Tamandua tetradactyla: one gene and its partner. The protein of the gene in region 2 purifies or fractionates together with the protein of the main gene of each other region. This does not show direct contact. Links are inferred from orthologs where the notes say so. Each region holds a gene or a part of one and is shown on either strand. Other genes may lie near its edges.

What was found.
Region 1: the proteins of PKN3 (region 2) and ARHGAP26 purify together in Homo sapiens (affinity purification with mass spectrometry; 3 studies listed by BioGRID and IntAct, with this or other methods). This does not show direct contact. The link is inferred for Tamandua tetradactyla from reciprocal best matches to the Homo sapiens genes PKN3 and ARHGAP26.

Annotation. Positions count from the first base shown.
Region 1 is NC_135346.1:22,966,008-22,982,053, forward strand, and holds the start of ARHGAP26 (rho GTPase-activating protein 26), read left to right. Parts: upstream 1-8,495; 5' UTR 8,496-8,571; coding exon 8,572-8,725; intron 8,726-16,046. UniProt on the Homo sapiens protein: GTPase-activating protein for RHOA and CDC42. Facilitates mitochondrial quality control by promoting Parkin-mediated recruitment of autophagosomes to damaged mitochondria.
Region 2 is NC_135328.1:51,570,687-51,586,358, reverse strand, and holds the start of PKN3 (serine/threonine-protein kinase N3), read right to left. Parts: upstream 7,759-15,672; 5' UTR 7,610-7,758; coding exon 7,586-7,609; intron 7,379-7,585; exon of another isoform or gene 6,461-7,378; coding exon of another isoform or gene 6,446-6,460; intron 5,694-6,445; coding exon 5,465-5,693; intron 5,218-5,464; coding exon 5,072-5,217; intron 4,585-5,071; coding exon 4,473-4,584; intron 4,373-4,472; coding exon 4,245-4,372; intron 4,038-4,244; coding exon 3,854-4,037; intron 2,456-3,853; coding exon 2,312-2,455; intron 2,226-2,311; coding exon 2,116-2,225; intron 1,999-2,115; coding exon 1,855-1,998; intron 1,429-1,854; coding exon 1,353-1,428; intron 1,256-1,352; coding exon 1,087-1,255; intron 911-1,086; coding exon 808-910; intron 687-807; coding exon 619-686; intron 312-618; coding exon 248-311; intron 77-247; coding exon 1-76. Other genes in the region: protein SET, read right to left, coding at 13,387-13,560, 13,645-13,815, 14,390-14,503, 14,615-14,718, 15,049-15,191.

The DNA of each region.
Region 1 (16,046 bases), on a different chromosome or scaffold from region 2:
CTTTCTTTTGCCAGCTCAAATCTGTTGAATCCTTCTAAGGGATTTTTAATTTCTGTTACTGTGGTCTTCCACTCTGGTTCCTTTTCATAATCTCCATTTCTATATTGATATTTTGTTTGTGTTCACCTGTGGTTTTCCTGATTTCTTTTAGTTCTTTGTCCATGTTTTCCTTTAGCTCTCTGAGCATATTTAAGACCATTTTTTAAGTCTTTGGTTGTAATGTTCCAGGTTTGGTCCACCTCATCAATGGTTTCTGGTGCTTTAATATTCTTCTTTGCCTGGGCCATTGCTTCTGTTTCATTGCATGTTTTGTTGAAACCTGGACACTTTGATATTTTAATGTTTTCATTGAAATTTAGATTCTGTCTGTTCCTAAGCTTTTATGCAGGTAGTGTTATAACAGAGCTTTCCTTGAATGCCAGGAGATAACAAACAAATAATAAAAGCACAAAAAAGAAAATATCTTTCTCAATCTTTGCAGAAAGAAAACACCTTTCTCAATTTGTGCAATGCTTTCCTTCAGGGTTTATCCATACAATAAGTTTGGAGAATAGCCCCAGGCCAACAGGTAGGGGCCTCCTTGCTCCTTTCTGCATGTGCCTCCTGTCTTGGGCATAGATGTGTAGCCTTTGGAATTTCCCTATTTACATGGATATGAATATCCCCTCTTCCCTAGGAAGCAGTTCCTCATGGTCCCAAGCACTGCAGTGTATGTCCTACCACCACCAGTCCTGGCCCCAGGCAGCACAAGTTGACAGTTCTCCCTCAGTGAGAGCTCTGTAAACTGCTTCTTCTACTTGCAGCACAAGTTCTGGGACAGCATGTCCCTCAGACAATCACTGCACTTGACAGATTGGACTAGAGGGACACGTTCCCAGTGTGTGGATGAGGCAGGTATGGGTCTAGGGACCCACACTGGGAGCATGGGGTGGCTCTCCACCAAGCCGGAGAGGGGCAGGGGATGGACAGGCTCGGACGTCACAAGATCCTACCTCTGTTAAGTGATCTTTTGCTTGATTTGGCACTTTGCCCTGTTCCTGCAATCCTTTAACTGTTTTCTAAAGCTTTTAGAAGGATGTTTCTGCCAGGTCTTGCTGGTTGTTCCTAGCTTCTGAGGGAATGGGGCCCTAAAGTGTCTTAATCTGTATTGAGGGGGGCAGGACCTCCTATTTAATCCTGTGCTCTTCTGTTACATCACCTTATTTCCTTTTCATGCTTCAGAAAGCAGCTTTTCTCAATTGGTTATTTTTGTTCTTTAAACAAATGATCTTGGAAGAAATGTCATCCTTGTCTGGCATTCAGTTTCCTCACCTGAAAACAATGTGATTAACTGGATGTATTCCATAATCTTTTCCAGCTCTAAAGCTCCATGGTTCTGAGATTCCATGAATTGCCCATTCAAAGACAGTTGTTGGTTTTCAGTGAAACTCCTGCTTTTCTCATCTGTTTTTAACCGAAACTGGAGAATTGAAACTCTTAAATCCATTTAGTAGACGCATCTACTATTTTACTTTTATATTCATGGGTATATTATTTGGTCCTCCTCAGTTGCAAAATATTTCCTTACTGTCATTTATAATAACTCTCAGGAACGATAGCCTGAAGAAATAGTTTTGATTTGCTTTTCTTTATTTATAGGTGGGAAACCAGGCTATTCTATTCTCTTAAATTGGCTTTCCTGAGGTCAGTGCTAGAGAAAGGTTTGCGATCTGCAACTGAAATTTCTAATCTTGCTCTGTATTTGTCCACTCATTCTTTCATCTGGTTAGTCCACAGGCTGACTAACCATCTCACGGAAGCCAAATCTGGCCTGCCATCTGCTTTTGTATGCTCATGAACTGACAATGGTAATTACATTTTTAAATGGTTGGGGAAAAAATAAAAAGAATAATATTTTGTGACACATGAAAATTGTATGAAATTTGCATTCTGGTGCCTCTAAAATATTATTGGAACACAGCCACCATGCTCATTTGTTTATGTATTCTTTCTGTCTGGTTTCATGCCATGGTGTCAGAGTTGAGTAGTTGCAACAGAAACTGTATGGTCTGCAAAACCTAAAAGCCCTGTATAGAAAAAATTTGCCAATGTCTGTCCAACATGTATTAATTGTACACCCTTGTTATATACTCAACAGGACACAGGGAATACAGCAATAGATAAGATAAACAGGTTCCTGGGCTCAAGGAGCTGTTTCTATACTTTTAAATAAAAAACCAAACAAACCTGGAGGGACACAGGGCTGTCAAATTTTGATTTTGGTAAATGACATTAAAAAAAAATCAGCTACTATCTTCATTCATCATCATTCTATAAATGAGAAGTATATTAATAATTTAAAAATGAGTATATTAATAACAAAAAATGTAGGAAAGGACGAATCTCAAAGTAAAAAAAAAATTCCCTTTAATGGAATAAATTTAATTTCATGAAAAACTCATTACACTGTCTTTGTTTTTCCAGTTTCACCATGGATTAGAGAAAACTTCCTGTACTGGCCCTGGTCATCAGACCAGCAGTGGGAAGTGTGAGGGTAATTGCTTTTCAGGCAAAACAGCCATTAAAAATATCTACTTTTAAAAATTGGAAAATGTTAGTATTTTAGTGATGGAATGCTTTATTTGAAAGTAAAACAGTCACTAACTAGTTTTATAAGTCAACCTTTTCTATAAATGAGTGCGTGTGATGGAAATATAGTGATGGGAAATCCCAGAAAAGAAATGCAAAGGGAAGTGGGGAAGTACAGAAAAGAAATCTGCTGGCATTCACTCTACCCCAGCAGATGTGACAGTTCTATGCCGTGTTTGGAAGCAAGAGAACCCATTTTAGTACTGCTTATTGGCACTGGCTTCACCCTTGAAGGAAAAGATTACAGAATACTTTCTCTTTTGAATTATTGCCCTCCTCTGTCTACATCCTGCCACCTTTAATAGACGTGGGAACCTACTAAAGCCACAGCATTGCCTCGAAACAACCAGGACCATTTAATGTGAATTCCCATGGAAGAAAAAACCTACCCATCACTAAGGATTTGAAGTTGAATAGTTTTCAGTCACTTTAGAGAGTTTCTTAAATCCACAAAACAAATTATTTACTTTGCAACACCTAAAATGGCAACCAAAAGACTAAAAATTACCTCTTTATGCTGCAGGAATCTGTATATACCTATTCCTGTTGTGCATGATATTGTCCATTTACTTAACATGTTTCATGGAGCACTAACTATGTGGGATGCAAATGTTGGGTGAAAAATAGGATTCTGTGCTCAAAGAAATATAAGAAATATTGAGTTATGCAAAATCACACAGGATTATTTATTGTAGAACTTCTCAGTACTGCTAATATGCTAATGTGCATTTTAAAGCAAACACATGTATTTAAGAAGATCCCAGGCAAGAAAGCAAGGTGCTTAGGATGGCTTTAGTTTAAATTATTTAAGTGAGCTTGTTTATTTGGCTATTAAATCAACAACAACTATAAGAAATAAGCCAACTGTTGTCATTGACCCAGATGATTCTGGGTAGATAGTTTCTTTGATAGTTTCCTGGTTTCATACCAGACTTTGAACAAGTTTATTTATGTTAATAAATTATCCCTTTTCTTAAATACCTTTCCTCGTTTAATACACGTTTTGATAGTTGTAAAGGCAAATATTATCTTTAAATGTTTAGGAAACCATCCTTAAAATTAATGGGTTTTGGGGTGCATGGGTAGTTCAGTGGTAGAGTTCTCACCTGCCATGCGGGAGACCCAGGTTCAATTCCTGGTCCATGCACTTCCCCAAAAACAAACAAACAAGCAAAACAAATAAAAATTCAACAAACGGTGCTGCAATAACAGTATATTCACATAGAAAAATGAAATGTGACCCCGTCATATAGTATACCAAAAAAAAAAATTAATGGCTTTCTAATTTGGAAACTACTTGAGGATGATATATTGATAATAAAATTTAGGAAGAGGTGAAGAGGTGAAACAATAGTTTTTTTTTTATTAGTACATTATTATCCATTAAGGTTCTGTTTATCTATGAGTAATAGAAAACTCCACTCTTGTAGCTTAAATGAGTAGGTTGTGTTTTTCCCTGTCATGTGCTGAGTTGTTGGGAGGTGGGCACTCTGGGACTGCATATTTTGGATGTCACCAAGCCACCTGGCTCCCTCGATCTTCCTATTCAATCATCCTGCATGTGGACTTCAATTTTATGGTTGCAATATAATTGCTGCTCCTCCACCCATCTCATCCACATTCCAGGCAAGAAGAATGGGAGGTGGGCAAAAGGTATGTGCCAGCTGTTTCTTTATCAAGAAAACAAAACCTCTTTCAAAAGCCCACCCAGTAGATTCTAAATAGCCTGAAAAGTGCACATGACCACTGCTAACTGTGTATAAGCCTGAAAAACTGAATTCTTTAGCTGAGTGCATTGAGGCTCTGCTATAAACATAGCATTAAGTTTAAGCTAGACTACTGGTTAGAATCTCAACTCTGCCTCTCAGGTGAGCCATTTCCAACGACGTCATCTGTGAAATGGAGATAAGATAGTAATAGGGTCGTTACAAGGTCAGCTTAGTAAATTTTTTTTTTTTTTTTGGTATGCTGTATGGTGGACATCACAGTTCATTCTTTTTCCACGTGGGTATCCCCTTATTGCAGCGCCATTTGTTGAATTTTTGTTTCGTTCGGTTTTTTGTTTGTTTGTTTGCTTGTTTGTTTGTTTGGGAAGTACATAGGCCAGGAATTGTGAGTAAATGTTTTTAAAGCATTTCGAACAGTACTGGTACATAGTAAATATTATATAAGTATTTTCTCAATAAATAAGTAAGGAGGAGGGGAGAATGGATTTTGGGTAGAAAAGTAGCAGGCATGGATGGAGAGATAGGTAGAATGACACCGCAAATGTGGTAAAATGTTAATATTTGTGGATCTGGGTATGGGGGTCATGGTATGTTTAAGTTCCCTGTATGGGTTTTGCATTATTTTTGCTATCCTGTAAGTTTGACATTATTTCAAAATTTAAAAAGTAGCAGGCATGAAATGAAAATAAACTGTGAAAAAGGGAAGTAACAATATTGCTAACATACAAAACAGAACATGTATGTTACAAGTAATATGAATTTCATTAATTTGTTGAACTAATGAATGTTAAATAAGTACCTTTCATGCTTATTATAAAATGAAGAAGGAATTTATAAAGACAGACTTGTTCTTTCTTCTTTCAAGAAAAGTTAGACTATCATGTCTGCTTCAATTAACTGCTTCTATCCAAGAAAAGTTAGACTATCATGTGGGTTTCAATTAACTGCTTCTATCCAAACGATAGGATCTGGATTTAAAGCCTACACAAATTAAAGATTGGGTAATTATTGATAAATTGATTTGGGATATACCACAAAAGGTCCTGAAGAAAACACATACACTTTAGAATGGGGTATCTCCTTTCTCATTCATGTGTGACCTTATTCCTTTTTAAGGTGATTGGCTATTTATTAATCTTTTAGATATATAAACCATCTTTCATACAGATGCCTTATATGGTGATAATTATTTAAGACATTTGAATTCTAAACCTAGCTCCACCACTAACTATGTGACCTTAGGCACGTTATTTCTCTAAATCTTCATTTCCTTATTTCTAAAATGGGATGGTAACAGTATCTACTTCCCAGGATTGCAGTAGAGCCTAAATGAGGAAATGCAGTAAAGTGCTTAGCAGAGATACTGCTCCACAGCAAGAGCTTAATAAATTTCATCATCATTTACTGTTATAACCACCACCGTCATTATTTTTTTAATCAAGTTTAAGATGCAGTTTATATACAATGAAATGCAACCCCGATGTCAACACCTGGGTAACCATCACCATACTCGAGATGTAGAATTATTCCCATAACCCCCTGTTTGGGTTTGTTAAATCTGCTGGAATGCAATATACCAGAAATGGAATGGCCTTTAAGAAGGGAATGTATTAAGTAACAAGTTTATAGTTCTAAGGCCATAACCATGTCCAAACTAAGGCATCCAGGGAAAGTTACCTTGACTCAAGAAAGGCTGATGGGTGCAGAACACCTCTGTCAGCTGGGAAGACACATGACTAGTGTCTGTTGGTCCATTGGCTTTTGGTTTCAAGCAGCTTCCCGAGGGGTGTTTTCTTTCTGCATCTCCAAACGTCTGTATCTCATACTGGCTCTGTTGGCTCTAAACTCTCTCCAAAAATGTTTCCTCTTTTAAAGATTTCTAGTAAACTAATCAAGACCCATTTGAATGGGCAGAGTCATATCTCCATCTAATCAAAAGGTTATACCCACAGTTGGGCGTGTTGCATCTCCATGGAAACAATCTAATCAAAGGGTCCCACCCTACAATATTGAATCAGGTTTAAAAGAACAAGGCTTTTTTGGGGTATATAACAATTTCAAACCAGCACCCCCTCCCAAATCACTATTTTAAAATAGGAAAACTGCTGTCTTATCCCATAATAATGCAAAGGGGAAGTCACTCTAAAGAAACATATGGTATCAATAACAAAAAGAATGAGTAAGTGCTAACTAGAATTAGAAAACTATGGGATTGTTATAGAAGGAGCATTGATTTTGAGGATGCTGGGTGGCTGGTCAGATGTCCTGCACCTTATAACTTTTGCTGGTTCAACTTTAAAGTCCTCTTTTCCTGCTAACAGGTCCTTGCTTGTCCTTTGGGAGAACAACTCCTTCCTAGTGCTTTGTATGTTTAGGGTGGGCTTATTTCAGCCGTGGCTTTCAGTCTTGTCATTTCTGCTGGAATTCTTGGATAGAAAAGTTCTTGCAGCTGACATCACTGGCTGTAAGCTTGGAGAAGCTGAGGGAGTCACTGAGAAGGAAGCCACACAGAGGAAGTTCAGCTGGAGCGATGGAGAGAGAGAAACCTTGTGAACAAGAGGGTTCGGGCAGGATCCCTGAGGCCATCATGCTGTGAAGAAGCCCAAAGGGGTCCACATGAAGAAGCCCTGAGCTCACAGGGAGAAAGAAAAAGAGACACTGGCTAGTCCCTCCCTGCCTTAGCTCCAGGCACCATGTGGCTGCAATCACATGAGCCATTCCAAGCCAGAACCACCCACCCCAGCCCTCCCCAAATTCCTGACCCACAGTGGTCATGAGAGAAAGTAAAATGATTGCTGTTGTTTTAACCCATTAAGTTTTGGAGTCATTTGTTATGCATCAATAGAGAACTAGGATGCCCGGGATAACAAGGAGCACCTTTAGGTGCTCAAGGTACAGTCATGGACACAATAGATGAGGAACCTATCTTCACGCAGTTTCCATTGCAGATCTTTCTCAGCCTGGCAAGTGAGGAACAACTATTTCAGGATTGTAATTATCTATCAGATGGCTATTTGGGCCTGCAACTAAGCCTGAATTTTTAGCTACATCTAGCAAATAGGTCACGTTCATTGACTCATTTATGCATTTAATCAATCAATTTCTTAACTTATATGGGATGCTTTCTCTGACCCCTTGAGTTAGAACCCTTCACATTCCCAAGCATTCAGCATTCTCTACGCTGGGGGTAGCCCGTGGGAGGTTTTGATAAGGAGTGGCTATGAGGGGGACGGACTGTAGGGGGCGGGAAGGCTGCGGGCAAGCAGAACTGGTAATTTAAATATGCAAGCATTTTCTCCCTGACTGGAAGAAAGAGGGAGTGTCTAGGGACGACGTGGATGCGTGGAGCGCTCGGGGTTCTCCCCGGCCCTGGGGTTGCGTTTTGAGTGCAAACCCGGTTTTCAGCAATGCAGAGTGGGCTGCGGGGAACTGCAGCCCTAATTCCCAGATTTTTCATGCTGGGCACATCCCAGGCTCCTCCGCCCCAGACCAGCAGACAGACCATCTCAGGCTCGGATCCCGGCCACAGCAGGCGGGCAAGGTCCGGAGTGGCGGGGGCTCTAGCACAGCAGCGCGGCTCACCCCCAAAAACTCGGGGTCTGCTCAACCAGGTTGGCGGGAGAGGGCGGAGCTTGTTCTGCGGACCTAGGCGGTGGCGTGGGCCCCACCCCTTGCTTCAGACCCCACCTGCAGGCCTCGCTGATTGGAGAAAACCTGCGGAAGGGATGGGCGTCCCAGAGCGGCCGGGGGGTCGGGCTGAGGCGGGCACGCCGATTGGTTGTGCTGGGATGAGGTCATCGCTAGCAGGTTCGGGCGGTCCGGACGCCGGCGGGGCGGCCGAGGCTGCTGTGAGAGGGCGCTCGAGGCTGCTGGAGAGCGAGCTGAGCAAGGGAGGCGGGGAGGCGGCGGCTGCACTCGCTCGCCCGCCCGCCGGCTCGCTTCCCGGTGCCTTGCGGGTCCGCCGCTGTGATTCCTGCTGAACCCCTCCGAGCAGCCTCGCGCCGCGGGAGCAGCCGCCGGTCTACCGAGGCTAGGCTCGGTTCGGGGGTCGTGCACGCCGGCGGACACCGCGCGGAGGGCGAGCCGGCGCCACACCTGTGGAGCCGGCGGCCGTCTGAGGTGCCGGCCGGGGTCCCGCTGCGTGCGTGTTCGAGGCGGCGGGCAGCCCGGGCCCCGGAGGAGAAGACGCGCCGCTCGGCTGGGCGCTGCGGACACCATGGGGCTCCCTGCGCTCGAGTTCAGCGACTGCTGCCTCGACAGCCCGCACTTCCGAGAGACACTCAAGTCGCACGAAGCGGAGCTGGACAAGACCAACAAATTCATTAAGGAGCTCATCAAGGACGGGAAGTCACTGATCAGCGCGCTCAAGAGTGAGTGCCCCGAGCCCGGCGGGGACGGCTGCCCGGGGGCCGGAGGGGCAGTCGGGAGGCGCTCAGCCCTTGTCGCCCGCGCGCCCTGCGGCGACGCTGAGTGACGGGAGTAGAGGCTTGTGAGGAGACAGGAAGGATACATAAAATGGGCGAGCCGGCAACAATGAGATGAGGAAAGACTGGTCCCGGAGTCGTTTGTATTCTGGGCTGGAGGAGAGGTGACCCGGGCGCGTGTGGCGCTCTCGGGCACCGCGGGTGGGGGTGCGCGGCACACAGGTGTCCCGGGAGTGGGCCGTAGTGCCTGGCGCACCGCAACCTGTTGGCAAACTCTATCGCGTCCGAGACTCTGGCTGCTTTAGGGGAATTGATGATCGTCCCTCGGTACCCATCCTTGGGAATGGGGCGGGCCCTGCCAAAGGGGCGCCGCCTCCCCTCGGGAAAAGGCAGGTGGGGAGTTTCGCGCCGTGTACGCAGCTGCCGCCTGTTCTGGGCCCTGGTTGTCCTCCGACAGGCACAGGCGCTGCCCAGAGAGGAGCGAGGTGGGGTGGTTGGTTAGCCCTCGATTCTTTGGAGTATTGGCAGCCAGTAACCCCCGAATGTAGAATCGGTGCCATGTCCGTGTGCAGAATCTGATTCTTGTGTTTAGCAGAAGGTGATAGGGGTGGGAGCACTGAATCAGAGTGTTCCTTGAAACTATGGGGGAAGGTTTAAAAATAGAATGAACATATTCTGACTTTCTCCTTCACTGGCTTCCCTGTTCTCCTTATTGCCTCTCCCATTAACCTTGAAAACTCAAAGGTTTCTGAAGGGAATATCTTCCTTCCTTACTCAAAGAGAAGTTTAAGTTCATCTTAAAGATTCTCAGACATTTTGTAAAAGGATTTTTGCTTTTTTCCTTTTGGTAGGGGAGAAATGGAACTTGCATCCTGTGTACGGTTTTCCCCTGACTTTTGCAGAAGCTGGACTTTCTTCTTCTGGCCAAATTGAGAGTGATCTAGGGATGAGCGCCTAGGATTGGGAGAATGTTTTTGGTGCTTATTCAGTCTACCAATTTTAAAAATAGTTCAGTTCATATTTTAGTTTTGAGAATCAGGAATAACATGAAGGCAGATAGTGGATTTTTCTTCGACTCTGCCTTTCCTGTCTCTGCGATGGATTCCTTAATAGGTGATATCTTTCAGCTGAGAAAGGTGCATTGGCAGAGTAGGGTCCAAGCTATGAGAATTTTATCTAGGACTTTTAAAAGGAGACTGACAAATCAGATCCCTAAGATGTCATTTTATGAGCGTGATGCTTCTATAAATGAAGAGAGAGAGAGCAGAATCCCAGGGCAGCAAGTGTCAATCTTTGGGGTGAAATGAATGCAGAGCTGTTGGAGGTGATGAGGCATTTTAGAGACAGGGCCTCTGCTGGAGGCTGTGCCTTACCTGAGCATCTGAACAGACTCTTCCTTTGTCAACGACCAGGGAGGACCATGCTTGGCCCCTAGACCAGTTCCTTGGGAACACTGACACCTGTTTTGGAGCCAGTTAGGGGCCCACTTGTATGTTGGGGCCAGGCATTTTGATTGAATCTCTGTGGCTGACTTTAATTGGGTCCTTGCTTCAGCCTACTGTGCCTGCTGTGTGCAGGGTAACGGCACTGGGCACTGGTTCACCTGTGAGTTATCTCATGTAAATTGAGGTTTGGAGGAAGCATTTGCTACAGCTCTGGTGGCAGGGCTTATTTCTGAACAGAAGTTCTGGGCCCTAGATGGAGTTCTTGCAGGGCTCTTAATCTGATCCCATGGACACTCTTGCCCTGAATAGAACACTCTGGACCAGTTTTGCTGGAATGTGGACTTACCTTTCAGTGCCTTGGCTGTGAGTCTGAGGAGGGCACAGTTTGGGTGACTGGTAGTTTTCCTGCTATTTTTTTTTTGAATGAGAATTCTTTGAATAGGAAGAAACATTGAAATGATGGGGTTGGAGGGTTATTTCATTTGTCTAATAGACCAGCCCTGTACTTGGGGGAAAGATTGATTGGACACTAGGCATTCTGGTTGTTCTAAATCCAGCTCTACGAATGTGACCTTGTATAGGTCACGTGATCTGGATCTCTAAGGGCTTCACTTCCCTTATCTTTAAAGATAGGAGTAGAGAGCTGTTTCCCAACTTTTAAGCATTTAGTTTTTAGCTAGAGGCTTACTTCATTGTTTACTACTACATTAGTATTTGCTTATTTTCCTTCTTCAGATCATCTTTATTCATACTGTAAATGGAAAGCCAGTGTTTTTCCAGAACACATTAAACATAGATGCATAATTGTGTACGTAAAGCTTGTTTAGATTATCTGCAGCCTCCTCCAGCTCTAAAATTTTATGGTTTTATTTTATAACTCATGTTTACAGATCTGGGTTTAGTTTCCTTTGTGTGTTAATCAGAGGCAATAAAGCTGACCTCCAGAGATTACCTGGTTCAGCTAGGTCATGTTATTGCTACTTCCACTTTATAAATGAGGAAACATAGGATCTGAAAGACGTCCCTAACCTGCCCAAGGCAATGCAGCAATTAAGTGTATTTAAATACTAGTTGTCTTGTTCCAAACCCTTGTACTTAACCTTAAAGCAACACTGTCCTCTAGGTCAGTGGTTCTTATACATGTTGGCCTCTTGACTCCCTTTGAAAATCTGATAAAAGCTGTGGACTCATTTTACATAAAAATGAATCCCTTGAAGCCTTTCCCTGGAGCTCAGACTTTCTGATGTGAAGATAAGCAATAAATTAATCTGGAACACACATTTCATACAATCCTCTTTTTGGAGAAAGTTCTCATTTGATGTGGGTTAGAGGTTTGGTGACTCTTAATCAGCAGTTTCTGATGCTGTTTTGTCCTAGCCTATTCTTTGGGGGACTCACACTCCCAAGATTCTTTCTTTTGACCTGATTAAAATCTGTCTCAGCCAAGAGGATTCCGTGTGTTTATGTCTGCTTTTCTTTCTGTAGATATGATGGAGACTGGAAATGCAGTTCAGATTTATAGAATTGAGTTTTAGGATTCCCTTTCTCCTTACCCTGAGCTTGTTAGGTCTCCAGACAAGTCCCACACCCCTTGAGGGCAGTAATATAGCCTGGTGTTAACAGAGCAGCCCTGGGTTTGAATTTCATTACTAAACCTGAACTGCTTCTCTGTAAAATGGGAATAGCCACACTGCCCTCAGAGGAGAGTTCTGAGGACTTGATGCAGCAATTCATGTACTGCGAGCACTTAGCTTGGGACCTGGCACATTAGTTCTGTGGGTTAGTGGTAACTGTTATCATCTTCCTTGGAGAAGGGAGCAGCATTCAGAGTGGTCAAGACTCTGTGATTCTCATAGCAAAATTCACTAAAAGCAGAGAGACATTTTTGTTTGTTTGTTTAGGGGTAGGAGGCAGGCCTGTGCCTTCTTCCTGCCAGTTGTTGGTAACTGACTAAGTTGTATGTTTATTATTGGTAACTGACTAAGTTGTATGTTTATTAACTATTCATGGGCAAAATCCTGGTAAGACTGCCTCTAAGCCGTGGTTGTGTCAAAAAAAGCCCTACAAGTTAAAAAGGAAAGAAAAATGAACTTCCTAACATCTCTTCTGTTCCTTCTAACAGTAGCTTAAATTTGCTATCTTTTTCTAGATTAATTCCCCCCACCCCCACCTCTATCCCAGTACCTTGGCTTGCTGGCTCCTTCTGTTTGTCTTGCAAGAAAAGTTCACAGAATGTATTGGAGTTCATATCTGGCTGTCATGGACTCAATGGCAAACCAAATGTGGTTTCATAGAAATGAAATTGCATTAGGTTGTTGCTTTAGAGGGCTGGTGTGGAGTTTTTGGAACCGCGTTTCTTTCCATTTTTGCAGTTGGTTTCTACACTTGTCGCTGGGGTTATGGCCCTTTAAATTTGACTTCAGTTTTCTGAGATGGGGTACCTTTATTCTGATACTCTAAGGTGGGAGAACAGAAATGCAAATTTCTTAATAACAGCCTTTATTGAGATATAATTCACCATATAAAGTATAAAATTCAATGGTTTTTAGTACATTCACAAAGTTGTGTAACCATCACCAGTCAATTTGAGAACATTTTCATCACCTCAGAAAGAAAATTTATATGCTATAAGCAGTCACTCCCATTTCTGCCCAACCAGACCAACCCTAGGAAACTCTAATCTGGCACCATAGATTTTCTTTCTCAATGGATTTGCCTATTTTGGACATCACAAATGCAGTTTTAATTATTTTCTTCTATGTGGTGGTGACCAGCTAGCTGTAGGCACAAAGTTCTTGATTTGAATTTCACGTTGGGAAACTTTGAATTTATAAGCTTTTTGGCTTCAAAACAGGCCTGGGTAGATAGGGCCTGAGGTCTCAAGGTCTGAAATGTGTCCCAGGGCCAGAAGAAAGCAGGTGTGCCTTTCTGTCTGCAACCCGCAAGAGGGGAGTGGATTCGTTCTCGGTCAGGGTACTTTGAAGTATGCAGAAGAGATCACCTAAGTACGAGTGAGAATCCAGCCCCTTCCTTAGTTAGCTTTCATTTATGTTGGGGCAGGATATGTGATACTGAGTAAAAACCTTACTTTGTGGTTATTATACTGCTAGATGGCATCTTTTTACAAAATAAAATGAGTATAGTGAAATTCCTATTTCTGTAATTTAGCCTGTACTTTTCATTGGCCTGTGCTTTTTGAAAATGATGTACCTTTCTCATTACATTCTTGATCATTAGTAATTCTGAGATTTCTGTCCTGCACCGTATCCCTAAGGCAACCATAGTGAGTTTTAACAGAAATAAGTAGACAGTCTTGTAATGATGACAGCAGATCAGGTTTATTGAGCACTTCACCAAGCTCTGGGCTCTATGTTAAGTGATTCATGTATATCGCCTTACTGCTCCTTACCGCCAGTGGGTGAATACTTACTCATCTTTCTCTCCATTTTATAGGTGAGATAACTTGTCTAAGATCACACAGCTAGGAAGTTGTACAACAAAGCTTTGACTGCAGTGGACCACAGGGTGTTTTCTTGAACATTACTTCCATTGCCTTCCATAAAGATGCTGACCATGACAATGGAAATTCTTCACAAATCTAGATCCTAGAAAGAGGAAACATAGGTGCTATATGAAGTGAGAATATTGTCCTAGCTATTTTTCAGACTCTGAGCCCTGGGCAGTGAAGAATAGCTAAGAGTTTGCATTATGCTCTGTTTTTGTGTTTCTAACCCCATCAGGGCCTTAAAGAACCTTTGTCAGTTAGAGAGGCAAATGAGGGGGTATCTCTTGGCCTTGTAAAGCCAATGCTCCAGAGTTTCTCTTTGAGTAGTGCTGAGTGATTATCAGCGATTTGGGGCATTGCCTTTCAACTGAGTAATAAAGTATTGAACAAAGAGGCTAGAAACCTGTTTCTGGATTCTGATGCAGTAAACAGCTCATCCTCTTTGTTCATTAAAATAAGAATAAGAAAATCAACACCAAGGGTTGTATGCTTTGAAGCATGTCACTCTTTTGTGCTTCTTTAGGATTTGGTATGGGCTTTTTGTAATAGCAAGATAAGTCCCTCTTGAATGTCATGAACTCCTCAAGGATGTTCCATGCCAACATGCTTTGTTTAGCAGTTATTATATTACTCATAACGTCCTAATGGGACAAACGGATATTAGGTTAGGTAGCAAAAGAGTTTTTTGCAGTTCCTTTGCTTTGCTTTAGCACCTTGCTAATAAATGAAAAAAGAAGGCACTTCCTAATTATTTGTAAATGGTGTTAATTTGCAGTAGAGACATTTGGAACATTGCATACTCAAATGTAAACAACAACAAATTTAAATCCAAACAAGACTTTGTAGTTTTTATATAACATTGCCTTAAAAAAAAAACCTTCTACTTTACCTCATTCTGTTCTCAATTGGAGTTAATGAATTGTATTTTTACTGAACTTTAATTCCCTCCCCTTCCCACCCCATTTTAAAACCGTAGCCACTGTCGGATCTTCTGTTATGTTCTCTTTTGTCCCAGAGGAAAATTCAGTAGTTTAGTTGGTATAAGTGGTTGATGGGAATTGACTGTGTTAATCAGCAATAACTATCAAGAAAGAATATCTTTCTTCTTTAAACTAGTAAAAAAGATAATTTTCTGTCCCCCTCTTTTTTTTCCCTCAGAAATATCACTAACACTTGGAGTTGACAGATAAATTTATTGTGTGTGTATATGTGTCTCTTTCAAGAACATTATATTTAAGTTTATTCCTGTTAAGGTAGCCATTTGTTTCAGATTAGCATGTTTTGGGAAAGCATGTTTTTAAAAAGCTTTATTAGGTATAATTTCCATAATGTAAAATTAATCTGTTTTAAGTGTACAATTTGAAGACTTTTTAGTTAGATTGCAGAGATTTCATCAGCTAGGTCAAAAAGGTCTTGAATCCCAGAAAGGGCTTTGGATTTCATTCTAAGGGGGATGGACAACCCTTAGAGATCAACAGGGAAGTGATGAATCCTAGCTGTGTTTAAAAAGATCATATTGGCAGCTGTTTGGAGAGTAGATGTAACAAGGCAAGAGTGGTGGCAGGGAGGCCAGCTGGGAAGTTGTTAAAGTAATTGAGGTAAGAGGCACTGGCACCTGGTCCAAGTATCGAAACTGTTGGTCAGATTCTGTGTGTATTTCGAAGTTGGGGCCACAGGATTTGCTGCTGGATTGGATGTGGGGTGGCAGACAAAAGAGTGAAGTCAAAAATGATTCAAAGGTTTTTGGCTTCATCTGCTATGTGGTGCCACTTACTGAGATAGAGAAGACTTGGGGAGGATTAGATTTGGGGGGAAAAATCAAGTTTGCATGAATGACTAATCTTATGGTGCAAAGACAAAAAAATTATGCAAATAGGTCATGAAGACATTCTCATAAAAGAATCAAAAGGTATAGAAGTAGAGTGAAGCACCTCTTCCCTGGAGTTAACCACTGTCAGCAGTTTGGTATGCTTCTTCTTTTCCTACTCCTTTTCTTCTGTGCATGTTTGCTGTTTCATAAATGGGATTATGTTATCTGAATTTTCCTGTGTTTTGCTGCCAGTTAATACTATGTTTTAGAGATCTTCCATGTCAGTACATGTACATAGTGCATTCTTTTGAGTGATTGCAGAGAGTTTTACATAGTTTATTTTCCCAGTCAGCTCTTGAAGGATATGTGTATCATTTCAGTCTTTCACTACTAGAGAAAATGCTGTGTTGATCATCTTGTGTATTCATCTCTGGGTACGTGTACCAGTATTTCCACCTCCAGTTTTTACAAGCTCTTTGACATCCGTTGTTGAGGTCTTTTGCATCC
Region 2 (15,672 bases):
GGCCAAGCACCTCCTGCTTCTTCAGCGCTTTGATGGCGTAGTATTTCCCTGTCAACTTGAACTGGACCAGGAGGACCTGGGGACCAGAGAGAGGCTGGGCCCCAGGTGGGTACCATACGAGAGCCCTCCCCGCTCCCCCCACCGAGTCTTCACCTCCTATCAATTCTCCCCCACAACCCAGAGTTCCAGTGTCTACCTGGCCAGTGTGCTGCGCCCCAGCCCCACTGCACCCTCCTCAGCCCATTACCTTTCCAAAGTGTCCCCGGCCCAGCACAGCCAAACAGCGGAAGTCCTGAAGCCGGAGGATTTTCCTGCAAGAGAGAGAGGGCACAGGAAGCCCCTAGGACAAGTGCTGGCCCCCACCAGGAGCTGCTCCAAACCCTTACATGCCTGGTCCTGAGCTGTCCCCACCTATGCGGCTCGCAGGGGAGGGGATGGAGAACCCAGGGTAGGGGCTCTTAGCAGTTTCCTGGGGTCTGGGATATAGCTGGAGCTCAATAAGGTGAGCTCAGCAAGTTAAGAACTTGAGAGTCACAGAGTGATGACTGGAGGGATACACAAAGACTCAAGCAAGTGGCTAAACAGCGCAAGCACACGTGGGGTATCCGACAGAGGTACCTGGTGGGCGAGGCTGCTGGAGGCGGCCCCGATCTGGCTCTGGGCTCCACGTGGGGGCGTTTGGTGCGCTGGGAGGGCAGAGGGTACTCAGGGCAGAGCTGGGCTTCCTTTCCTCTCTCCCTGAGTCCCACCCCCATTTCCCGGGCAGCCCCCAGGGGCCAACAGCTCTGCCCTCCCCTTGCCCCTCACCGGAGTCTCCTCAGGGGCGGGCTCCTGGGGCAGGTAGAGGCGTGGGGGCTTGGGAGGGGGCTTCATCTCTTCTCCCACGGGGGCTTTCCTGGGTGGGAAATTACTGTGGGGAGGAAGCATGACCGGGCACAGACAGACGGAATGGCTGGTGGGGACAAACACAGCCGTGCAGAGACAGACAGAAAGGGTTGACAATGGGGACAGAAAGACAGCTACAGACTTAGCTTAGAGAAAGGTGGATCCAGAGAAGCAAACAGTCTGGGGTGAAGAGCTCCTCACCTAGGGGAGACAGGGTCAGCAGACCCCTGGGGCATAGCTGGGGTTCGGGGACATCCTCTCGGGGGGCTGATGGTGCTTGGGGAGCTGCAGGGAGGCAGCAGGTTCATGACCAAGCGCCCCCAGGCTGCCATGCTGAGATTCATCTGGGACGCCCTCAGGAAGTCCCGGCCTGAGGGGCAAAGCGGGGGGTTCAGTCCCAGGGCACCTGACACCCCAGCCCTGCTCCTACACACACAGCCCTCACCCCCCACCCCCCACACACACACCTCTGCGTTTAGAGAAAATGCGTTTCTGCCTTTGCAGCCTTGGTCTCCTCTCGATGACAGGGTCACAGAAGGTCACCTGTGGGGTCAGGGTTCGGGGCTAAGGACCAGTCCTCCCCCAATTATTTGCCACGTCAACTTCTCAGCCTCCAGCGTCCCAGCCTGAGCTCCCAATGTCAATGAATACACGAGCCAGAAGGGGCCAGAAATGGATTCAAGGCCCTCATTGGTACCAGTGGGGAAACTGAGGACCAGAGAAGAGGTGTATGTCCAGGGTCACACATGAAGCAGGGGCAGAGTCAGGACAAGGACGCAGGCCTCCAGAGTCCTGTGAAGTGCTCTTTCCACTGCCCCTCCGAGAGGGGCTGAGAATCCTTCAAACATTCCCAGAGACTCCTCGCTCTGAGCCTCAATTTCCTACCTACAAGTGGTGGGTCACACGGTCTCAAAGCTCCTCTAGCTCTGATAGACCCAGGGCCTGCAAGGGTGGGGGGCCAGTGAGCACCTGGGCAAAGAGCAGCCCCTGTGGCACCAGGCTGAGGGAGAGCTGGTGACAGGCATTGTCCAGGAAATCTTCAAGTCTCAGAAAGGCCACGCCACACAGCTGCCGCCAGTCCCGCCAACGCACCCCGATCTCCAGCTCACGGGCCTACAGTGGAGAAGGCCAGGTTGGGGTATGGGGGCGGGACCCAGAGCACCATCCCCAACCTGGTCAGCCTCCACCCCATGGCCAAGGTTACCCTTAACTGCACAAGGCCAGATTTACCCGCTCCAGGGGGATGACAAAATTCTGGTCCCAGGACTGCCTGGCCACTGGCCCCCAGCTTGTCTGGCCCACAGCACGGTTGTCCACCTTCAGCACAGCCAGCACCTCGCCTGCAGGGCCGGAGTTGGAGCTCAGGGCAGGCTATGAGCAGGGGATCCGTTGTTTCCCCCGACAGCTCCTGACAGCCCCTACTCACTGGCCAGCTCACCCCCACCACGCTGCTTGGCTCTGGCCCAAAGCCAGCCTTCCGAGGGGCTCCCAGCCAGGGCGGCCGCTGGAGAACGTCCAGGCACGGCGGTCAGGAGTTGCTCACAGCCCAGGAGACGGACCTGCAGCGTCCCTGTGAAGATGCACAGGGTAGGTGCGTTGTCAGGTGCCATCCTCTCACCAATGGGCCCCTGGGGACCCCAGGAATGCCATCCTCTCCTGAAGGTGGCTGAACTCAGACCCCAACCCCCTTAGGCCCTGGCAGCTATATGTCATCCTTGGAGCAGAACAACTAGCACCCCTTCTGAGCATTTCCCATAACACTGCAGGGACATACAGGCAGGCAAAGGAGCCAGAGGCTCAGGCCCAAGTCCAGGCCACACAAAGCCACAGTACATGAAAAGATGCCCAAGGACTGGGGCCTAGAAAGCATTAGAGCAGAGACAAGAACTTGGGTCAGGTAACAGGAGGCCTGGCTTCCTGTCCCACTCCTTTCCTGGACCTCAGTTTCCCCATCTATACAGTGGCGATGACTCCCAGCCCCACCCCACCTCCCACAATGGGTGCAAAATGTATTTTGTCAACCAAGAGGATTTATTTTTAGAGTCACTAGAGTTTTGTCTCTCAAAGGGTAGAGGGGGCAGTAGGAATCAAGCAGCTTTTGAGGATAAAAATTGGGCCCAAGTACACAATTTAGGGAGTCCAGGCCCGGAAATTACAGAGACTTTATAAACAAAGGCAGATGCCCAGGGTGGGAAGATTAACTTAGTACAAATGATAGGAGGAGCTGGCATGTTTAGCCAGCAGACAGGATATGAGATGACCCCAAATAGTTGAATTCCAGCCTTTTAACATGCTGTCCCCCCTCTGCCTTCCCCAACTTGTCTACCTGAACAACTCCTGTATGTCCTTCAAGGCCAGACTCAGACACCACCTCCTCCAGGAAGCATTCCCTGATTCCCCAAGGCCAAGTGAACCGTCCTATCCAGCCCTGGTACTTTCCCTTCTCAGCACTGCTTACCATGAAATGTCGTCCCCTGCACACTCTCCAGAACTGGCCAGTACTCCATGCCAGCAGGGGCTGGGCTCTCTATTTCCTACTGTATCCCAGTGGGAAAACTCAGGGCCCAGCACAAAGCCAGTGCTCTTGGATTATGTATTGATTGCAATTGAGCTGCTGCTTCAAGGAGACAGCTCAGTTCTATAAGAAATAACTTTCTACTATTCTGAGCTGCCCAGGCCTGGGACTGGGAACCAGAGTCCCAGAGTTGTAAGCTCACCAACACTGGTGCTTTAACCATTATCATAGTTACCAATGCAAATAACAGCTGCATTGACCAAGGGCCAGGCACTATACTGCACTTCCAACAATTCACTGAATCTACATAGCAACCCTATAAAGTGATGTCCAGGGAGGAGATGTCAGCTGCCAGGATTGGACTACAAAATTCCTCCCCACCACGCTTTAGGGTCCTCCTCCACAAGGGAGGAAGAGCTCTGAAGGTGGGGAAAGGGTGGGAATCCTGGCTACCTGTCATGGCGGTGGGCTTCACGAGTATCCCTGAAGGCTGGAGGTTCCCAGGCACAGCAGTCCGCAGCTCCCGGGCCACCCTGCCACGTAGTGGGTGGGCAGGAGGCAGTCTCTCCAGCAGCTGCTCCAAGGCCAGCCGCAGGAGGTCCAGTTTCTGGGAGGACTCCTGGAGCTGGGCCTGAGCCTGCAGGAGGGGATACAGGCAGGCACAAACCCATGGGGCATCAGGGAGGGGGACACAGCAGTCCAGGCCACCTTGAGACCCCTCCCTGCTTCCTCCTTTCTACTCCAGCAAAGCCATCCAGAGGTGCCTCCCACCACTGCAGAGGGTGGTATGGGGACAAGCAGACCCTCAGAAGGAAGCAGGAAGAGGAAAAGGTCATGGTCTGACCTCAGCCAGTGCCTTGCGGTCCTGTGTTCGCCGGCTGCCAAGCAGCTTCACCACATTTTTAGCACCCTCGGCCACAGCAGCCTCAATTCGCAGTCGATGCCGCAGCTCTTCTGCCAGCAGCTCAGGGCCTGCGGAGGACGGAAGGGTCAGGTAATTCCCTCCCGGCCCAGAGGCCCACACCCAGTCTTCTCTGTCCTGCCCGTCCTTTCCCACTGCTCAAGGCCTCACCTGGCTCAGGGGATCCACTGGATTCCAGGCTGCTGATTTTCATCCGCAGCAGAGCCACCTTCAGCTGGCTGTCCCGCAGCATCTGCTGGACAGCTGCCAGGAGCTTCCTCTCCTGCGGGGCCACGGCATATGCCCCATCAGACCAGGGCTGAGCCAGAGCCTCCTCCTTCAGACCAGACCAGGGCTGGGAGAGGTCAAGCCTCCCCATCAGAAAAGGGCTGGAGTCAGACCCTCCCCATCAGGTCAAGGTTGGTACTAAGCTTCTTCACAGTATCGGGGCTGGGGTAAGCCTCCCCTGTATGATGTGTTCTGGGGCCAAGCTCTCTACCTCAGGCTGGGAGGCAGGACTAGGGCTGGACCTTCTCTACTTGGCCTGGGATTCCCATTAGATTGGTATAGTGCCTTCTGTGTTAGACTAGGGGTTAGAGTTGGGGCTCTGTCTCCCCCATCAGACTTGGGATTGTGTCTCCCCTATAAGGTCAAAGGCTGGGTTGCATTTCCAGAATAGGGGTTACCTCCCCTAATAATTGGGAGCCATGCCTCCCCCATTAGATTGGAGGCTGGGGCTTTGCCTCCCTATCGTACTCCAAGGACCTTACCTTAGGAGTGCCACTGGCGTATGTGTGGGTCATATTTTCAGCCCCCTGCTTCACCTTCAGCTCCACCTGCAGCTGCCTCTGTAGAGCCTCCAGGTGCCGAGCCTTTGGCTGCTCTGCCCATGGCCGGGGTTCTGAGGCTGCAGATTCTATGCACAGAGAATGTGAGGCACACGAGCCCTCCCTCTAGAGGCAAGATTCCATTCCCTCACCCCCACTGTAGCCTAGCAATCTCCTCATCTCCCCTCCAAATGGGCAGCAGCAGGGGATATCCTGAGGAGGCTCAGAGAGGTGAGACAGCCTGTCTGGGGCCACACAGTGGTCAAGGACAAGGCCTAGGAGCCAGGTCAGCCTGGTCCCACCTCTTGAGGGGATCTGCTCAGACCCCCTACTCACCAGCCAGGCTGGGCAGCTGGATGCGGGCGTGCAGCTCCTGCAGCTCCCCATGCAGCTGCTCCAGACGGCGGTTAGAGGATCGCAGCAGCTGCTGCACATGCCCCAGGTGGCGACGGTCTGTGGCCACACGACGCAGGTTTTCCACACCTTCCTTGATCTTCAGCTCCTTCTGGATGGCCCGGCGGATCAGTTCCTTCTCATCCTCTGGGGGCCGCTGGCCCACTCCAGGCTGCAGAAGGACAGAAAGAAGTCAGGCCATACAGCCCCTCCCAGGGGGCACCAGGGAGAGAGAGAAGTAGTCGGCAGCCAGGACAGACACAGGGTTTGGGAAGTTTCTCTGACCTTTGAGCTCAATATCCCTATGCCAGATGGAATTCCAAAGGCTACTTATCCAGCCCATGCTCCTTTCTCTGCCATTCAGAAAAAGAGAAGGGTGAAAAAAAAAAAAACTGCTAATGCTTTGATGCTTACTGGATGCCAGGTTCTGTTCTACAAGCTTTACATATATTAGCTTATTTAATCTTTACAGCAACCCCACTAGGTAGGTGCAGTTATTATCCCAATTTTATAGATGAAGAAACTGAGACAAAGCAAGATTTAAGTAACTTGCCCGATGTTACCCACGGCCATATAGAAAAAGAGGTCACCATCTCTTGGGTCCTAGTCTCTGCCTGCCAAGCACCTTAATCAAGCTGTTTTCTAAATCTGGGCAGGGAGTAGATGGGAAAAGCTCAGCACTGAGAAGGGATTTACCCATGGAGAGGGCAGCTGGAGGCCTGAGTAGGAGGCCAAGGCTTGCTTCCTCCTGGGAGGAAGTATGAGTCTCTCTTACTACTTTACCCCAGGCTGGAACAAGGAAAAGGAAAACCTACGTCCCAGGAGCCATTTCAAACTAATCAGTGCCAAAGCTTTCCTCAGCTCAGAGTAGCCCACGATGCCTTCCCGTGGACTTTTACAGGGCCCCCAGGCCCCTCACCTTACCTCTTGGCTCTCCATCTCCTGAGCCCAGTGGAAGGGGTGACCACCCCAGCCTCAGGGACTCTCAACCCAGGCCTCTGCTGGCCAGCTGGGCCTGGCTCTCAGAGGGCAGGGGCGAGGCTCAGGAAATCCTTTGACCGCCCTAGGAGAGACGGCCAGAGCCAAAGGCCTGAGCAAACAAAGATCCCATGGAGCTGGGGGCCCGGCCACCGGGGTCCTGAGTCACCCTGCCGCTGTTGGGCGGAGGTTCACAGGAAATCGGAAAATGTGTACAAGTCACCGCTGGGACAGGCAGACGGACCTCTGGAGGAAGAGGGTGGAAGAGGGTGGACTGCAGGCCTGAGGGCTCCCTGAGCATTTGGAATCTCTACAATATCCCATGCTGAAGCTGAAACCAAACCCCACCGTCCTGTCTGCTCTGGACTGGAATCTCTCCATATATTCACACACCTCCTTTCTGCTCTGAGTTGGAAACCTATCTTGTACACATTTGTCCCCTCTTATTTGTTCTGGGCTAGGACACCTCTCCATCCCTAAAAACAGACACACACACTGCCTTGGCCTCCGTGCCAAAGCGCACTGATTGCCAGCTCTGCCCAGGAACCCCGCATCCCTCCACATTTGCAACTGGTGCCTCCTCACGCGTACACACACCCCACACGCCTTGTGTGTTCTGCGAAGGACCCCAGAAGTGCACAGGTAGGCCCCCCTCCCTGTGCTCACACGGCCTTCTCCCACCAGGTACCTCTTTGCTTTCCTGGCTAATTCCCATCGGCCTTACATTCTTGCCTGGAGAACAGGTTTTAGGAAATTTTGGAGCCCACCCTGGGGGTCCTGACTGCGGATTCAGACAAGCTCCTAAGCTGATCCGACTAGAGGTTCTGAATCACCCGGAGGGCTCATGTGTGACAATTTCCAAGAGGCAGGAACGACCTAACCCCAGTACTCAGTTCTCCCCTGCGAAGGTGTAGCGGGGATCCCAGGCAAGGGCTGGGAGAGACGCAAGGCGGAGTCAGGGTAGCGACTTTAGGGGGCAGGGCTTGGAGATGCGGCCGAAGCCTGGGGTGCCCGCGGTATGAGGGAGGCTTTCATCGCACCCCCTCAGCCCCCGGCCGCAGCCCGGTCTCTCCCGGCGCCGTTCACCTGCTGCGGCGCCCCTTCCTCCATGGCGCAGCTCAGGCCGTTCGGGCCCCTCCTCTCGACCACTTCAGTTCCGGAAGCCCTGGCCCCTCCGCCAGGACTTTCAAACTTGAAACTTCCCGGGAAGCGGCGCCCAAGAGGCGGGATCGGGCGCCCCCTCCCGAGACTCGCTGGCCCTTCCGGGACCTTGGGATTAGCGCCGCCTCTCGGCTGCGCCAAGGTGCGCCCCCAATTCCACTTCTGAATTCCGAGGCCCTAGTGCCTCGCCCGGCTTCGAAATTCCGCCGGACCTGAGACCCAGGACCCTCTCCTCTGAGCCCAGTTTCCGCTGACACTCACCCCAACAAGCGCAAGATGGAGGAGCAGAAGTCTGTAGCGTTGCCCCACCGAACGCAGAGGCAGGCCTGGGTGGACATAGCACCAGCTGCGACCGCGGGGCGGGGCGCTAAATCGCCACGTCGGGGTCGCAGCCGGTGCGGAGGGCCCACCCCTCTTCCTCCCTGCTCTGCCAGGACCTAGCTTCGGCCACTAACGCGCTAGGTCTCCTCGGTCAAGTCCCTCCGTCTCTGGGTCTTGGTTATTGCGGTGTAAAACGGGTTAATCCCAATCCTGTCGCCCCCACGATGTGATTGGCCCTCCCTAGGCGGTATTAATCACTATAAGAATGCATCTGTGGAAAATAGTAAAACCACACCCAAGTTATAAATTACAGAGCCACTGTTCCACTTTTGCACCACAAAACCCAACTAAACAGAAGTATTCACATCTTGTGAGATGCATTCTCAGTACAGTGATAACAAGCCTGCACGATTTGAGCTGGCACTGGTTTGCCTGTCGAGGGACGGGGGGGATCCCGGTTCTTTGTATTGCCTAGTCTGTTTTTTCACCACTGCTGGGCATAGTGTGCTTACGAGCGAGCACTTTCTGCCAGGTCTTCACCAGGAGCCTCATACAAGGAACAAAAAAGAAATTTAACATCTCAAGTGAGGAAGGATCAAGGGTGGCTTATTTGCTTAATGCTTTCACTGAAGGAAACCACGTCTATTCCATTTTGCTCTGACCACCTTCCTCGCAATGGATTGGAAAAGAAATTTGTAAGCCATGAACAATCCTGGGTTATCCTGCAATGGGAAATCAAAGTGTCATCAACATATGCAGAGGCAACTTGCTTTAGCAGGACATGCCCGTCCAGACTCTGTAATTAGAGGCAAACTGTTTCCACAAATCAGTTGTAGCACTTTAGGCAGAACTAAGACAAACACTGCAGTACATAGAGCACATAGATTCTTTTGGTTTAGCAGGCAAGGTTCTCGCCTGCCATGCTGGAGACACGGGTTCAATTCCTAGTGCCTGCCCATAAAAATATATATATATATATATTTGATGGGTGACGTCACTTCTGGAAGCCAAATAGGGTTACCCGATATAAGTAATTCTCCACAGGAGGGTGTTTCCCATCTTGAGGATCATTTATTTACCTACTCCCTGAGCCTGGGAGCTGAATTATATGGAGGAATAAGATAGCTTTGGGTTTGCCATGAAGTGTGCCACTGCCTCACACATCACACTTGAAGGAAAGTAGATTGGAATTAACTCATGCACCTCTTTTCTAATACACAAAAGCTGGGCAAAAAGCAAAGCTTTCACGGCCTCTATTACGAAAACTACAAGGAACTTAAGTCTTGGGCTGATGGAAGTTTGAGCAGCTAAGTTCATTTATGTGCATTTTATGTTTGATGGTGATGGCAACTTATGGGATTGCAATTCTTAGGAAGACATCCTGTGGACAGTGAATAGTGCAACCTCTCCAGCTGTCAAAGAACCTAAAACTTCCTAGCAGGCTACATAATCAAACTTTCCCCCTTTCCATATACATTTTGTTGGTTTGCTCAGTATTGGAACGTTACCATCAAGTTGGCACACCCCTACTCCACTTTCCAAGTCCTCACTATCGTTCTCATCACAAAATCAGTCCTTTCCCTCAGACTTGTTAAAAATTTAACTTGCAACCTTTCATAAACACAGATACATGTTCAAAAGGGAATGGATGCTAAAGGTGTGCGGAGGACAAACTTTTCAAAATGCAAAACTGCTGCCCCCCTTAAACAATTGGAGTGGCTAGTCCCTCATCTAAAGAACTTGTCTCAGTCTTCAGAAAATCCTCAGTCTTCATTCTTTGCAACAGAATTCCATTTTCCAGCAGCCAGGATTCCTATCCAAATCTAGACCAAAAAAAAAAAGGCATATGAAACCTATTAATGGAAACAGCTGAGACCATGAAACTGTTTTTTGTTATAAAGCAGTAATGATTTATGAATGAATTAAAAAACAATTATTCAGAAATCCTGAAGTCCAAAGGGTCCCCCAAATCCATGCAAGAGTTAAAAAGTCATCCATTTTAGAAACCAAGCAGCTAACACAAGTGAAGCAAGCTGGCCAGATGTAAAGCAAATCTGTTGACCAAACAAGATAACCAGGAACCCTATGGGTCATTTGAATTCTAAATTTTAGAGCCAGAATTGGATATCAACACCTGAGTATTAACCTGCTATGGAAATAGGAGTCCATTAAATGAGAAATCAAATAACCTCAACTGCAGGGATGGTCTGCAACAGATTGTTCCTTAAGGTTTGAATGTAAGAACACATTATAAGTTACTGTCCCAAATCATGAAGTTATTAAATTCCCCTCATAAATGGAGTGATAGCTTCAGGAGTATGTGCTTCCTATTGTCAAACTATCAGGTACATGCACATTGAGCCATTATCAACTCTTTTCAATACACATCTGATTAAAGGCGGACAGAGAACTACCCTTGTATTTCGGTAGAAAACAGTTCTTCTGTAGCAACTTTTTAGGAAACTAAGGTTGTTAACTTTGGAGTGTAGCAGTCTAGCATTCTTTTACAAGATTTATAGACACAAGGGATTCTACAGCTATTTCAATAGCTGGGAGACACACTACCATAAGTAGCTCCACATCTCAATGAAAATGTTTAACCTAACAGCCCTACAATTTGCCATAACATACATTTATGGCAAACTGTCTTTGCAAAACACTATGAGCATTACCTAATGGATATTTAATCTGTTCCGTTTTTCCCAGTGAAAGTCTTCTACATCTAAATACAGAATCCCCTCAGGAACGATTAACTATACTTCAAGATTTAAGTCAGTAATTTACGCATAACTTATAATAGACCAACTCAAGCCTTTTCATTTAGAGCTATGCTACATTTAACTGATACTAAATAAAGGACAGTTTGCCCACCACCCCACAAAGCAATTTCCCTCCAACTCCCCAGTCACTAATGTAAACAAGCCAAAAAATTAAAATATAGCTTACCATCTAAACCCAAAAGCAAGTAACGTTTCTCTACAAAACAAGGAGAATGACCCCAGTCAAAAAAAAAATCTTTAGGTTCCTTTATTGGAGCAAGATTCCTGACTGATTTACAGTGATGTATTTACTAAACAGAGACCTGTGCAGAAAAGTTACATACTATATCCATCTAAACAAGTTTTGATACACTTTGCCTCTTGATGGAATAGTTCCATTTATAAAGTTTTATACATCAAAAGCTTTGAATTTGACCAGCCTGGCCATTCTTTTCTGAAAACTTAAGTGGCAATGATTTTACACCATTAATAGCTTATGCATTAGGTAGCTTCTCAAAATGTCATATGCACAGTGGCATTTAGTAGACCAAGCAGAGTTCATATCACCTAGATTTACAAATGGGTCTCATTTGAGATAGCTTTGTTAGATAGCTGGTACTTGAGACAAAAAGTAATCCAAACCTGAGTTTCTCACCAACAGACTTCCTACAGAGAGAGCCCATCTTCTTGGCCACATTCTAGTGCCAGTGAAGACATGCCAGCAACTGCCCCACATGTAAATTGGCTTCAGAGCACATGGTCTGGCTGATGGTGGTGGCAGGCACTATTTTCATTGTTATATTCAGGTAAACAAGAACCCAGTTAAAAAAAAAAAACAAAAAACTAGAAATTTTAAAAAGGGTACAAACACTCAACTGAATTCTGGGCAATCTGATTTCCACCAATGATGTCAATATTCAGAAACTGATGGCAAATTGTACCCACAATGTTTCCCAGCTTTAGAGACATTAATACATTGACTCAAATCCCTTTACTCAATCCACATAGCCCTGAGGTCATCCTGCAAAGTGCATATCAAAAAATTCGGTTAGGGTGACAAAGTTTGACAAGGCTGTGTTAAACAAGTCAAACTTGGAACATTTTAAAGTTATATCTGTTCTGAGAGAAAAGCATCAAATCCTTTGTGTACACATTTAGTTTTATTGTAACAAAGCAACTTGTACACTTTTAACGTTTAAAACTGAGCATCATCTTTCCTTTCCAGTGAAACAAAAAGAAAATTTAAAAATAAACAGGAACAAAATTACAATAGAGAATGTCAATTCCAAATAAGATCCTACAGGTTCTGCTGATTCTCCCATTGAGTGGCAGGGCTCAAGTCATCATTAGGAGAGAATTTTATTTTAAAAGTGTCATCTTAAACTGCAAGGATGTCCGGTAAACATCACAATTAAACATGCCAAAGGAGAAGCCATGTTGTCAAAATGCCCACTTAACCCACCCAAACATCTCAAACCCACCCTTTGCTGACCTTCTATAACCCCATTTTTTTAAGGTTTTTTTTTTCTTTTTTTAAACAAGAGAAAGTAGACAGATACATGTTGGTAAATGCTAACTGTCCATATTCACATAGAGACACAGTGTAATCTCTGAGCCCAATATACAGAGAAAGGAGGAAAAAAGCTAGAATTCTATGCACTACTACACAGGGGCCTAGCACCCTCCAGCTTCTAGCAGAGCGAAGGGAGCAGAAGGTTTTTCTTTTTTCCCACAGAGCACGGTGGTGTGTTGATTCCATAAAGTTTTTTGTTGAGACAGGAAGGGATAAAAATGAATTTGAAACAGAAACAGGTAGAGATTCTTTTCCCACTGTATTCTGCGCAAGGTATTTCCCCCAAAATAAGTTGTGAACCATGGTGTAAAGGAGAGAAAAGAGACCTCAAAAACAGGGCGACTGAGCACAAGAGGGAAAAAAAAAAAAAAAAAAAAAAAAAAAAGACTGCAACTTGCTCCCAGGGACTGGAGAAAATTAAAAAGGGAAGGTTGGAATCCATCAGTGTTCTATTAGTCATCTTCTCCTTCATCCTCCTGTAAGAAAAAAGTGGGCGGTTAAATCTTCAGGGTTAATCCTACCTAGGGTTACTCACTAGTTTTCATATGCTCTATAGACCATGATGGATTCTATAGGACATAAAGAAAACATACTGCAGGGCACCCAATTTCTGAACCTGTATATCAATCTGTTTCCAATCTACATTGAAAAGGCCCAGTGACAGTGTTTCAGATAAATTAGTAGCTTTTCAGCACTAACGACATCATTGGACATATTCCATACAATTCAAACCAAAATGAAAACTCATCTATTCCAATTTGACTACTTAAGAATCCTGTAGTTTGCAGACTTCTGTTATTTGGGAGATTTCTTAGGACTTTAACCAGCTGCCCTGTCCATCACTTTCATTAAGTATGGGTTAGAGAAAGACAGGCTTCAATTAATTCAAAAGCAGTACTAGTCAAATTATAGAAACAATGAGATTATCAAAATTTTATTGATTCTTAAGACAGAAAATGGCTTGTATTACCCACACAATCAGTTCCGGGTTAGTTTCATTACACAATAAAAGTAAAATGGTGAATTCTTTAAGTAGTAGTTCAATTCTGAAAGGGTATAAAGATTCTACTCTTTTAAGATTTAGCCAATTTTTCTTTTACCTCTCCTTCCTCTCCCTCATCATCATCTTCATCTTCTTCCCCTTCATCCTCATCCCCTTCTTCATCAATATCTTCCAATCCTTCTTCTTCTTCATCATCATCATCATCTTCTTCTCCTTCCCCTTCTTCATCATCCATATCAGGAACCTTAAAAAAAAAGTTATCTTAAGCACTTATTTTTAATCAAATGAGACAAGTGCAACATTAAATGCAAAAGCATTCACCACTCACCAAATAGTATTGTAATGGATTTGGCCAAATATCATCTTTGATGACTTCTCCTAACTCATCTGCACCTGCATCAGAATGGTCAGTAAACCAGGTAAAAAAGCTCTCTGGTTCTTCATGCTGCCTCTTCCTGCTGGCTTTATTCTGTGTTTGACTTGAACGTTTCGTCAAATCCTAAATGAAGATGGAAAGACCTTTTGACATAGGCTCTCTATAACAATAAATTTCCTGTAATTTAAAAAAGTAAATTTTCCCTAAATGCAGAATGAAAAATAAACATCAGTATACTGTCAACACTATTACTGTCTAAGAGATGTTATAGAATTGACAGGAGATAAAGAGCAAACTCTAAAATCCTAGGTCCACAAGAGTGTGTTCTCTTAAGTTTTATGACAAACTTTTCCTAAAGATAAAGTTACAACTAAATTTTTCATAAGATTAGTTCCACTTTCACCAAGTACCAATACACAGTATTATAATTAATAAATATAACTTTAAGGTGAGCATTAACGGATTTTGGAAAAAGGGCAAACCATTTGAAGAGTTCAATTACCAATATGGAAACTCCAAAGTCTGTCTGACTCTCAAACTTCCATTATAATTTTCACAAGACTTCGATGCTTTATCACACTAGCAGTTCTCGTATTTACTGTTTTTGTATTTAGCATATTAACAAAGCAGCAAGAATTGGTAAATTCAACTAAACTAAAATACACAAAATATTCTTGCCTAATCCCTCAAAGCATACCTTTCCAGATTTCCATTTGATTTCAGTTGACTTTGAGGATGGATCACCACTCTCATTCAGATGAAATTCTTTGGAGAGAACTTTATTTTCGAAGTAAGGATTTTCATCAAAATACTAGAATAATCAGAGGATTAGAAATCAATAAAAAACAAAAAAAACCCCACTTCGAACCAAAGCTGAGATTAATTTCCATAGTGGCAAACAATATGAATTACTGATACTTACAAAATCTATTCTGTAACCTGATTTAATATCTTCAAACTCTGTCACTTCAACTCTTGTCAAATAATGCAGTGCCTCTTCATCTTCCTCCCCAAGCAATGCAGACACTAGACCAACAAATTACAGGTCAAGTAAAGTTTAAACAAGCAAACACTAATAACAATAACTTAGTGAGCATCTTTGGTTTCATAGCTCCATTACTAACCGAAGAAAATCAAGTGGTTTTTAAAAGTACCAAAGCTGTCACCATCTTATCAAGTAATCAAACAGTTCCAAATTAAATTACAGTTTAAGTAGATAAAAGGCATTTACTTCAAGTCTTCGCTTTCGAGTGTTTCATCTTCTATATGCAATCTACCATGAGGTCCCTTTACTCATTAACATGTCAGCATCTTCTTTTAGCAATACCCTTCCACTAGCTGGAGGGAAAAACATACCTTGTGGATGGTTGACAAATGTTGTTACCCAAAAATTGGGGATTTTGGCGATCAATTCTGACCTCTTCTGAAAGAATGGTTGGCGGAGTTTATTGTATTTCTGTTCTACTTTCAAAATCTCCTCACTGGCTTGTTCATTAAGTCTGGAGCAAATGAAAAGATATGTTGACAATGACTACTAAACTTTATGAGGCTATAGAATGAATATTCTCATTAGCTTTTTTATAACTACCTATTTCATAATAACCAAATCTAGTTTTTTACAGATGTAAACTCAAGCCAATATTAAGATGGCAATTAAAAAAGTTCAACTTGCTTTACAATAAGCACTCAATAAAACAGTTCTTAAAATTACTCAAACTGAGCACACTGGTAACATTGTATATTTACTTCCATCTACTCTATTACCAGGCCAACTTCAATTGTTTCCGTTAGGCAGGACTTTTTCCTCAAAGCTAATAATCAAGTAACAAAGTTATAAAGCAAGCCAGAGAAACACTGATGCCATAATGCTGAACAGTCAGAAGTCCACAAATTGCAATTCAGGCAATTTGTAGCCTTTGAAAGGAACCCTCATCTTAGCAAAGTCAATGTACTTTCATGAAATATTTTTTTGTAACCATA